2 linked regions of the Caenorhabditis elegans genome follow. The protein of the gene in region 2 interacts with the protein of the main gene of each other region in a pairwise test. Each region holds a gene or a part of one and is shown on either strand. Other genes may lie near its edges.

Region 1 (5,768 bases), on a different chromosome or scaffold from region 2:
AGATCCTTATTGTTATTTCGTTTTTTTTTCCTTCTTCAAATTGTTTACTTTTAATGAAATAATAAAGGTGGACCTCTCACCTGATTGGTCGGAAAGTGGGCGAAGCAATTCGCTGGTTGGTCGGCCAAAATTTAGCCAAAATTGAAAAAAAGGTGTTTTTTTTCTGTGGAATTTCTGAATTTTTAGGATTTTCCAAAAAAAATCCGAATTTTTTGATTTTTTAACAATTTTCAAAAAAAAACTGCTTTTTAGGCCCCGCCCACTTCTTGGAGATAGGTTATTTTGGAAAATAAATTCCAAAAAAAACACTGAAAATTTCCGAATGCCCAAGAAGTGGGCGGAGCCTAAAAATAAATTTTTTTGGATTTTTTTATTTTTCAAAAAAAAACGGCTTATTAGGCCCCGCCCACTTCCTGGAGATATCTGTTTTTCTGGAAAGGAAAAAAATTCCAAAAAAATCACTTGAAATTTCCGGATATCCAGGAAGTGGGCGGAGCCTAAAAATAAATTTTTTTGAAAATTTCCAGTAGATCTTTGTTGTTGCATTTTTCTCTATATTTTCAAATTGTGTTTGCTTTTATTAAATATATAAAATGAGACCAAAAAACATGGCAAAACAAGTGAAAAAGATCAAAATAATTATGATTTCCCGCCCGAATCATCGATCAATAACGTTCACGTCTTCTGTCATCATTGCGATGATGCCGGCTCGAGCTTCGGTCATATCCATGACGATCGTGATGACGGTGTGGCGTGGAATTCTGATGACGTCCATTGTACGGAGGAGCGGATCTATTAATTTGTTGCTGCATCATTTGATTTACAAAATGTTGATGAGGAAGCATTTGCGGAGTCGAATATTGTGGAGGACCTGGAAAATATTGATTTTTCGATTTTTTTTCCGACATTCTTGCGTTTTTCGGCTGAATTGGTTACTTTTTTCAGCGAACTTTTTTCAGCTTTTTCAATTTTATTCAATTTTTTTTAGTTATTTTAGGTACATTAAGCTTGTTCTCATGAAATTTAGGTCTAAAAATCTAGAACTTTTCAGAAACTTCTGCAAAAAAAATCGATTTTTTGGAAAAATTAACGAATTTTTCCGACATTTCTGCGTTTTTCTGCAGAAAATTTATTGGTTTTCATTGAATTTTTCTCTAATATTTGATTTTAGGAATGATTTTTCAGACTTTTTGCCGCAAAAAAAGTCCCTGAAACTCTCTAAAATTGGCCACTTTTGAGCTTCAGCAATTTTTTTTTGCGGAAAAATGTCTGAAAATTGGACAAACGATGCTCTTTTTTTCGTCTGGTGTAATTTTTTTTCCCAATTTTTGAGTTATTTTAGGCCTAATTAGGTAAATTGAGCCTGCTTTTATGCAATTTAGGGCTAAAAATCTCCAATTTTTCAGATTTTTGAACAAAAAAAAATTTTTTCTAATTAAGATTTTTTCACCGATTTCTCACTTATATTGAGGGGGTTTCGGAAAAATTATAGATTTGTTCTTCTAAAATTCCTCAAAAATTGGCTCAATTTTTTAAAAATCAAATTTTCCGGCTAATTTCCGCAAAAACCTTGCAAATTATCGATTTTTAGGGTTTCAGCATGTTTTTTTGCGGAAAAAAGGTTGAAATTTTGAATTTTTTGCAAAAAAAAATTTTTAAAAAAAAGATTTTTTTTCCATTTTTCAGTTATTTTGAGCCCGTTCTCATGTATTTCAGGCCTAAAAATCTCCAATTTTTCAGAAATTTCAACTAAAAATCGATTTTTTTGCTACCTCTTTCCCCTCCGCTTCTCCAATGTCCTCCGGATCCTCCCATCAGTGGAGGTGGCGGTGGAGGTGGAAGAGGATCATATTGTCGATGATGACGAGGAGGCTGCTGCTGCTGCCATGAGTCACGGTTGTTTCCGTTTCTGGAAAAGACAAAAAAAAAATGATTTTTCGGCCTTTTTTTGTTGATTTTCAACGTTTTTCTTCGATTTCTGAGATTTTTAATCAAAAAAAAAATGTTGTGAGACAGAAACCAAGCCAACGCCGGGTATAAAATAAAGCCGAATTTGATCTTTTTATCATCGTCTGAGTTAGAGATGAAGCTTCTTATCGTATTTTTCGCTGTAATTTCTGTGGCTGCGGGGCAGAGCGTGAGTTTTTTATAATGTTTTTTATAATTAAAGGTGGTGTTACACCACTGGTGTAGTAGAATTTTTTTTAAAAATTGCCTTATTAGGCTCAAAATTGTCTGAAAACACCGAATTTCATAATGAAACTTCTTGAAAACTTTTCAGAAAAAAGTTATGACGGCTCAAAAAATGGCCTAAAATTAGATGAAATCGGAAATTTGACCGACTTGTCAATGTCGCAGCGGCTGGAAATATTTTTTTTTTGAAATCACCGTTAAATTTTGAGTCTACGAGTTGATATTTTGCGTTTTAAACTTGATTAACAAGGAAAGTCGAAAAATTTAATGTCTGACTTTGGCATGACATAGTATTTTTTTCGATAAAAGAGTGAAAATAATGATGCCTCCAAAAAATTTAGCTGCCCGGTCCAGGTTCGGCAAAGTTATGACGTTTTGAAAGTGACTGGAACACCTTTTTACAAAATTTCAAAATTTTCAAAAAAAAAAAAAATTTTCTAAAAAGAGGAAAAAACTGTTTTAACTTATCCAAAAATGAGAAAAACATTTATCATACACGTTTTTTCTCACCACAGACCAAAAAGCACATTGCTTGATCTACATAACTTGAGGAAAATTCCAAAAAGTACATTTTTTTGCAGATTTAATTTGTGGGTTTTCTTGAGAGGTATAACCTAAAACTTGCATAGCATATGTTTTTCATTGTTTTGAATAATTTACACACATTTGCTCCTCTTTTTAGAAATTTTTTTTTGTTGAAAATTTTGAAATTTTGTAAAAAGGTGTTTTAGTCACTTCCAAAACGTCATAACTTTGCTGAACCTGAACCGGGCAGCTAAATTTTTTGGAGGCATCATTATTTTTACTCTTTTATCGAAAAATACTATGTCATGCCAAAGTCAGACATTAAATTTTTCGACTTTCCTTGTTAATCAAGTTTAAAACGCAAAATATCAACTTGTAGACTCAAAATTTAACGGTGATTTCAAAAAAATATATTTCCAGCCGCTGCGACATTGACAAGTCGATCAAATTTCCGATTTTAACGAATTTTAGGCCATTTTTTGAGCCGTCATAATTTTTTTTGGAAAAGTTTTCAAGAAGTTTCATTATAAAATTCAAAAAAAAAATCAATTTTGTTTCTTTTCAGATCATCTGGAACAATAACAATGCTAACAGATTCCCAAGTTGCTTTGGTACGATTTTTAACGCTAAAAAATCAATAAAATTCAATTTCCAGCCTGCTCCACTGCCGCCGGCTTCGTCGCCAACATTGACGGCCAGTCTACAAATGCTCGGTGCACTGACGCTGCTTCAAATCCAGCCGAACGATGCCCAGGATGTTGTGCATCCGTTGCTCTTGCCGCCGGGCTCTCCGCAGATCGCGCCTCCGGATTCCCGTCGACAAACGGAAGAAGCTGTGTTTGCTGCGTCAGATCGTGCTAATTGAGCCTTAAAATCCTTGAATTAATCCAATAAACTCTACCTATTCCTGTTCCGATCATCTCTATAGCTATCCCGTCTTCCGTCTCGATCCGGTGCCGCTACCGATCGAACTCTTTCCTCGATTTCTCCTTTTTTTCGCTTATATAATTCCTCCTGATTTGTGCCATTTCGCGGCTTTACTTGTAGTTCTTGATTGAAAAGTCGCACTCCATTCATCAATTCAATGGCGAATAGTACAGATAATTCGTCCTGAAATTTATTTTTTTTTTTAAATTTTTCAGCGAAATTGCTTACCTCAAACTCCACCAATGCGAATTTTGCATTAGAATCCCTCACATCTCTCAGAATAACTTTTACAACGGGGCCGGCTTGAATAAAAAGCTCTTCGAGCAATTCTTCATCGACTTCTTCTGAAAAATTGGCCACGTATATTGTGCGCTCTTCTGGAGGCGATGGCGTTGGTTTTATTTCCATTTTTTGCTGAAAATTCAAATTTAAATTCGAAATTTCGAAAAAAAGGCTGAAAATTCACTCATGTGAGAGAAAAAGCGAGAAAAACGAGAAAAACCAAATAAATCCCATTCCCATTCCCGGATGGCGCAAACATGTCCTCGCTGACGCGTTTCTCGATTTTGCTGGCGCATATCTCGTGCATAGAGAAAAGCCAGCACGGCACTAGAAAAGTAGAACCTAGCCGACAAAAACTGGTTGTTTTAGCAAATTTACTTAACCTTTTTCCGTTTTTTGTGAAAATTAATTGTTTCCAAAGTATATTTCAGGTACTTTTACTAGTTTTTTCCGTGTGTCGAGTGGAGAAGAGGCTCGCAGAGCTCTACAGTTCGATTTAAAGCAAAAATTAATATTTCTCCATGGAGCGAGCGGTGTATTTATTTTTAAAATTTTTATACAGCTAAACCGCTCAATTCCTGAGAATTAGCTTTGTTTGAAACCAAACTTAAATTGACTTAAAAATCCATATTTCTACCTCAAAAAATAAATCGAATCCGTCTCAAGAGCCCTTTAGCCACCCTTTAGCCCCCTTCTTCCTCAGAAAAATGTCCGCTTTTTTTTAATTCAAAAGAAAAAAGGTTATTTCTTCCTCATTTTTCTCCTGTATGACGAATTTACCTGCTTTTCAGATCGTCAGAGCGCCCAAATGAGTCATTATTTATTTGTTTTACTAACTATTTCATAGCAGTTTCAAAAAAACTAGAAAGTTCTTTTCAGGTTCAGGCTATGAGGAACAATATTTTTCTAGATTGATAAATAAATATTTCTCCGTTGTTCCGCAATTTTTATCGAGAAAAAACAAGATCAGGCGCCCCCTCGTGGGGTTTTTTTTCTGAAAAGTGCAATTTCCTGCCTCTCTTTTGCTAGACGATTCATTAAAAACCCACAAATGATGATGATAAGACATCAAATTTTGATTTCTTTGGCATTTTTTACAAAGATTTTTGATTTTTTTTAAACGCTAATCGTAATTTCGTACTTTATTTAGTGTGTTTAAACCATAAATTGTTAGAAATCTTGTCTCAAACACATATGTGCTCATGAGCATGCTCACAAATACTTTTTGATGACAAAAACAATTATTTTCACTGATAACATGTAATAAAACATAAAATGAACATAAAACATGATTTTTAATGCAAAAAACCCCTTTTTTCGAAGAATTTTGATTAAATTTGATATTCCACTACTTTTCCCCAGCTCTTTCACTTTCCGCCTTTTCTGGGTCTCCCCCGTCGTCTCCCATATCTCTTCTTCCCCGTTCGTTCTCCCATTTTCTTGGCTAATTGCCAAGAAATTGGAACAACGCCACATCTGTCTCGCGCGCCACTGCAACTTTTTCCTCACGAGGGACGAGGAAAAGTGGTTTCTAGGCCATGGCCGAGGGGCCGACAAGTTTCAGCGGCCATTTATCTTGCTTTGTTTTCCGCCTGTTTTCTTTTGTTTTTCATCGATTTTTTTCGTTTTTTCTTATTAAAACTGATAAATAAATACTTTTTGCAGATGCTAAAACAATTTCCAAGTAAAAAATTATGTATTCAGTGGGCAAGCAGCGGTGAAAGTGGCCAATAATCATATTACAATGCCCACTTTCACCGCTGCTTGCCCACTGAATACATGATTTTTTTACTTGGAAATTGTTTTAGCGTCTGCAAAAAGTATTTATTTATCAGTTTTAA
Region 2 (4,991 bases):
TAAATTTTTTAGAATTTTTCAATAATTTTTTAAAAGTTAATCTAAATTTTTTTTTTAACTAAATTCCATTTTTCCTCAACTTTAGGCTATTTTTCTAGTTTGTTTTTTCGCTTTTCACAAAAAAAAAAATAGAAATTTCGGTTTTTTTTTTAATTTTGTATTTTGAAAATAAAAAAGAGAATTGAGGATTTTAAACAATTCTAAATTTTAAACAATTAAATATTTTAAACAATTAAATATTTTTTATTTCAATATCTGGAAATTTCAGAATTTTCAAAATAATTAGAAAACTTCGAAAATTATGAAAATTCTATTTTTTTCATTTTTTCGGTAGAAATTAGTTTTTTTTTAAATAAGATTTTTGATTTTTTTTAAATAATAACATATTTCATAAAAACTCTTATTTTTCGTTTTTTTTTTCGGTTTAAAAAATAATTAGAAAAGTTTGAAAATTGTGAAAATTCGATTTTATTTAATTTTTTAAAAATTAAATTAATTTAAAAAAATCAATTTTTCAGAATTTCAAAAGAAGAATTAAATTCCATTTTTCGTGTCAATTCTAGCCGAATTTTCCTAAAAACTCCTCCATTTCTTCAGCGCTTACCGTCTGCAACATTTCACAAAAAATATCAAACGGCGGTACTTCAAATCGTCCCCGTTCACGATCTCTCAGTGCTCCATACGTTTTATTGAATCCCATATAGAAATGCACTTTTTCCGACTGAATTGTCGGTGCCGGACGGGCTTCTTCATCATCATCATTATCCACCTCCTCCTGATTATGATCTTCCGAGTAGATTTTCAACGTCGCAAATTCCCGTTTCAACGATTTTCTCAAATAACCCGGTGGGTATCCCCGATAGAATCCCAATCTTCTCATCCTATAAACCCATTCTGGAATATCATCCGGTCCAAGGCTCAGCGCTTTTCGTAGATTCTGGCTCAGTCTTCCCGGCTTAAACTTGGCTTCCTGCTGCTGCTCGGTGACCTGAGAAATCCGTCCAGTTGGTTGGTGCTGCTGCTGCTTGTCATTCATGAATTCGAGCTTGTTCTTCCGGATTTCCGCGAAATTCTTGGGCTCCGGGCATTGAGCTATAGAGTGATCGCCGCCGCGGCAGTTGAAGCAACAATTTGTACGGCGACGCTTTTTTTCCGATTCTTCGGGCTCGTCGCACTGCAAAAAAAAATTTTTTTTTGGGACTTTTTCGCTAAAAACTTTCTTTTTTGATTTCCAAACAAATAATATTTGTTGCGGGAAAAAACGGAAAAAAAAGTATTTAAAAATCTTGAATTTTGTTTTTTTTTTCAGATTTTTCACAAAACGGAAAAAAAAAGTTTATAAAAACTTTAAAGATGGTGTAGTCGAATTTTTTTATTGCTTAATTAGACTCAAAATTGTCTGAAAACACCGAATTTCATAATGAAACTTCTTGAAAACTTCTCAAAAAAAAAGTTATGACGGCTCAAAAAATGGCCTAAAATTAGTTAAAATCGGAAATTTAACCGACTTGTCAAGCGGCTGGAAACTAATTTTTTTTTAAATCACCGTCAAATTTTGGGTATACAATTTTAATTATCTTGCGTTTTCAACTTCATTTAGGTATTTTAAAGTCGATTTTTAAATTGTTTTAAACCAACTCACGCCGGAGGCACCACGTTTTCAAGATCTGTTCAAAAACATAGTTTTCAGACATCTGGCACTGTGCCAACTGCAGTTTTCTCCATGAAAAACGAAACAACGATGCTCCGAACATTTCAAAAAATATCTTTCTGAACGCTAAACAACACGCGACGCGTAACATCGGAGCATCGTTGTTTCGGTTTTCACGGAGAAAACTGCAGTTGGCACGGTGCCAGATCCTGAAAACCTTGTTTTCGAACAGATCTTGAAAACGTGGTGCCTCCGGCGAGATTTGGTTAAAAAATTTAAAAATCTACTTTAAAATACTTAAATCGAGTTGAAAACCCAAGATAAGTACATTGTATACTCAAAATTTGACAGTGATTTCAAAAAAAAAAAAAAGTTTCCAGCCGCTCGACAAGTCGGTCAAATTTCAAATTTTAACTAATTTTAGGCCATTTTTCGAGCCGCCATAACTTTTTTTTTGAGAAGTTTTCAAGTAGTTTCATTATGAAATTTGGTTTTTTTCAGACAATTTTGAGTCTAATGAAGCAATAAAAACATTTTTTTTCGTAAAAAACGGATTAAATTTTTGAAAAAAAAAACGAAAAATTGAAGATTTTTAAAACTTTTTTTCGTTTTATTTTTTTTAACGGAAAAAAAAGTTTTTCAAAGTTTTGAAATTGAAATTTTTGTGACTAAATTATTGAAGAAAGCATATTTTTATCACAAAATTATTTATTTAAAAAAAACCAAAAATTCTAGATTTTTTTTTTTTTTTTCGGTTTTTTTGAATTTTTTTATTGAAAAAAAAACGAAAATTCGAAAATTTTCAATGCTTTTTTCGTTTTTTTTTCCAAAATTTACGAGAGAAAAATTAAAAAAAAAATTTAAAAATTTAAAGTTTCAGTTTTTTAAACCAATTTTTCACAACTTTAAAAAACCGAAAAAAATTCGAAAAATCTTGAATTTTTCGATTTTTGTAATTTTTCTCAGAAAAAAGATTCAAGGTTTGCCGGCGGCGCCAATACCTAACGAGACCCAAATTTTGTGACCGCCGGAGCGTTTTTGACTGTCATTGGAGGGCGTTTGCACCTTAATTCCCACAAAAATCGACTTTTTTCGACGTTTTTCATAGAAAATTCACATTTTTCTCCAATTTTTTGGGAAAATCCCCCTGATTTTTCTTCAATTTTCTCCACAATTTTCAATTAGTACCTGTTCCCCAAACATTCTTTTCCGCATATTTTTCGCCCAATTACTACTAGTTTTAACTTCCGCATCATCATCAGCTGATGGTGTTTCCCTCTCCAAATCCTCATTCGGAATGATTCCCGAGCAATTTTTATCGATTATAAAGTCATCTAATCCATCCATAAGTGCCGCCGAATTGGGTGAAAGTGATATTTCTCCATCTTCAGACATTTTTTTACTACTGGAATATTGAAACGGAAATTAGTTTTTAAAAAATTTGAAAATTCGCGGAAACTCTGAAAATGCTAATGGAATTTTTCCAAAAAACCAACAAAAAACAATATAAATTAACAAGAAAAACCTAGAACCTCTCCGAAAAAACGCAGAAATTTTATTTTTCCAAAAATTAATGTGGAAAACGTCAAATTTTAAGAATTCGGTGAAAAAATAGGCGATATCAAAAGAAATTTGCGGGAATTTAACGAAAATCGCCGATTTTTCAAGTTTGTTTTGTGAAATCTGATAAATTCCGACATTTTTCGCACTTTAATACCGAAAAAAAAATTGGAAAAATCGCGAAAAAACATTAAAAACTAGCTACAGTAATCTTAAAGGCGCACACTTAAAATTTTAAATCCTAGATTTTCGTTGCGAGACCTGTGGGTCCATTTAAATCGTTTTTTGTCATTTTTTATCGATTTTTGTTCAATTTTCACTCCGATTTGCGAGTTTTCAGTGAAAATTTCACAAAAAAATCCAGAACCTGTCCGACAAAAAAAATTTTTCGAATAAAAAAAAATATTTCAGAGCCAAAAATTGTTACTCTTTTCAATAAAAACAAAAAAATAATTTAAAAATGTTATTTTTTCAACAAAAAAAAATTCCAAAATAATCGATAAAGCCCGTCCATCGTGTAGTTTTGACCAGCTTTTTACCCAAAATTCTCTTCATTTATAGCTCCAAAGAGCCCTCCAACTGCACAAATTCCTTCTTGCCGCGTAGTTTTGTGAGAAGAATCTGCAAAAAATCGATTTTTTGTGAATTTTATTAAAAAAAACCTAATTTTACCTCATTTTTATTGATTTTTCTCATTAAAACAGCGAATAAGCCCGCTTCCCGCCGCGTCAAGTTCAAAATCGTCAGGATTTTTGCGGAAAGAAACAGGAAATTCCATTGCTCTGTCATCATCGCAAATCCGTCGACAGCTCGCTCACAAACTTCCCGAAAAAGTTGAAAATTGACGGGTTCCACCGAATTTTTCACATATTTATCAACAATAATATTCACAATTTGACAAAATGGGGTCTTGCCACGATCTCCGAAGGCTTGAAGTTGCGGCGCCAGCTTTTCCAACAAAATCGAGCAAATTTCGACGATTCGTTCGTCGTTTTTGGCGATTTTCGTGTCGAAAATCTCCGAAATTTGTGTGATAATCGTGTCGGGATTGGGTTTCAAGAATGAAATGTCTGGCAAGTGGCGAAAATTGGATTTTATTCGGATTTTTTCGCAAATTTCCTCAATAATTTCCATTGGAGACGTGCATGTCGAGTTGGGAATCGTTTTTGAGAGAAATTGACGAAATAAGTCGTTGAATTGGGCTTCTGAAAAAAAAATTTTTTTTAAAAGATATTTTTCGCGTTTTTACACCGGAAAAACTGAAAAAATCGCGAAAAATCAATAAAAATTAGCTACAGTAATCTTAAAGCCGCACAACTAAATTCTCAAATCCTAGATTTTCGTTGCGATACCCGCGGGTCTATTTAAATCTATTTTTGCAATTTTTTTTAACGATTTTTTTATCGTTTTTTGCCTAAAATCGTCGTTTTTACCCACCATTTCCGTCGTAAAACGCAGAAAATCCCAAAATTAACGTAGAAAACAGCAAATTTGAAGAATTCGGTGGCAAAATCGAAAAATCGGCAATTTCCAACAAAATTTGCGGGAATTTAATGAAAATCGCGGTTTTTTCCTCGATTTTTCCAGATTTTTGCATCATTTTTTGTGAAATTTGTTGAATTCTCAGTGCTAATCCTTTTCGATCGATTCGTGTGGCCATGATTTTCAGCTGATTTTCAATGAAAATAATCGAATTTTCATCGAATTTCTCCAGCGAATTCCGCCAAAATCCGTCGGAATTCACCGGCGCCTGCAGATTTTTTGCCGTTTCCAACAAAAA

The links. Proteins that work in one complex are often made in the same cells at the same time.
Region 1: the proteins of Y34D9A.7 (region 2) and rbm-7 interact in a two-hybrid assay, tested with the Caenorhabditis elegans proteins (one large-scale study listed by BioGRID).

Annotation. Positions count from the first base shown.
Region 1 is NC_003281.10:12,927,809-12,933,576, forward strand, and holds rbm-7 (RRM domain-containing protein), read right to left. Parts: upstream 4,060-5,768; 5' UTR 4,054-4,059; coding exon 3,874-4,053; intron 3,829-3,873; coding exon 3,620-3,828; exon of another isoform or gene 3,580-3,619; coding exon of another isoform or gene 3,374-3,579; intron 3,330-3,373; coding exon of another isoform or gene 3,284-3,329; intron 2,138-3,283; coding exon of another isoform or gene 2,084-2,137; exon of another isoform or gene 2,065-2,083; intron 1,910-2,064; coding exon 1,773-1,909; intron 872-1,772; coding exon 666-871; 3' UTR 562-665; downstream 1-561. Other genes in the region: Y37D8A.19 (uncharacterized protein), read left to right, coding at 2,084-2,137, 3,284-3,329, 3,374-3,579.
Region 2 is NC_003279.8:1,039,539-1,044,529, reverse strand, and holds the start of Y34D9A.7 (PSP proline-rich domain-containing protein), read right to left. Parts: upstream 3,059-4,991; 5' UTR 3,047-3,058; coding exon 2,840-3,046; intron 1,175-2,839; coding exon 605-1,174; intron 1-604. Other genes in the region: Y34D9A.3 (THO complex subunit 2), read right to left, coding at 3,767-3,832, 3,884-4,416, 4,649-4,991.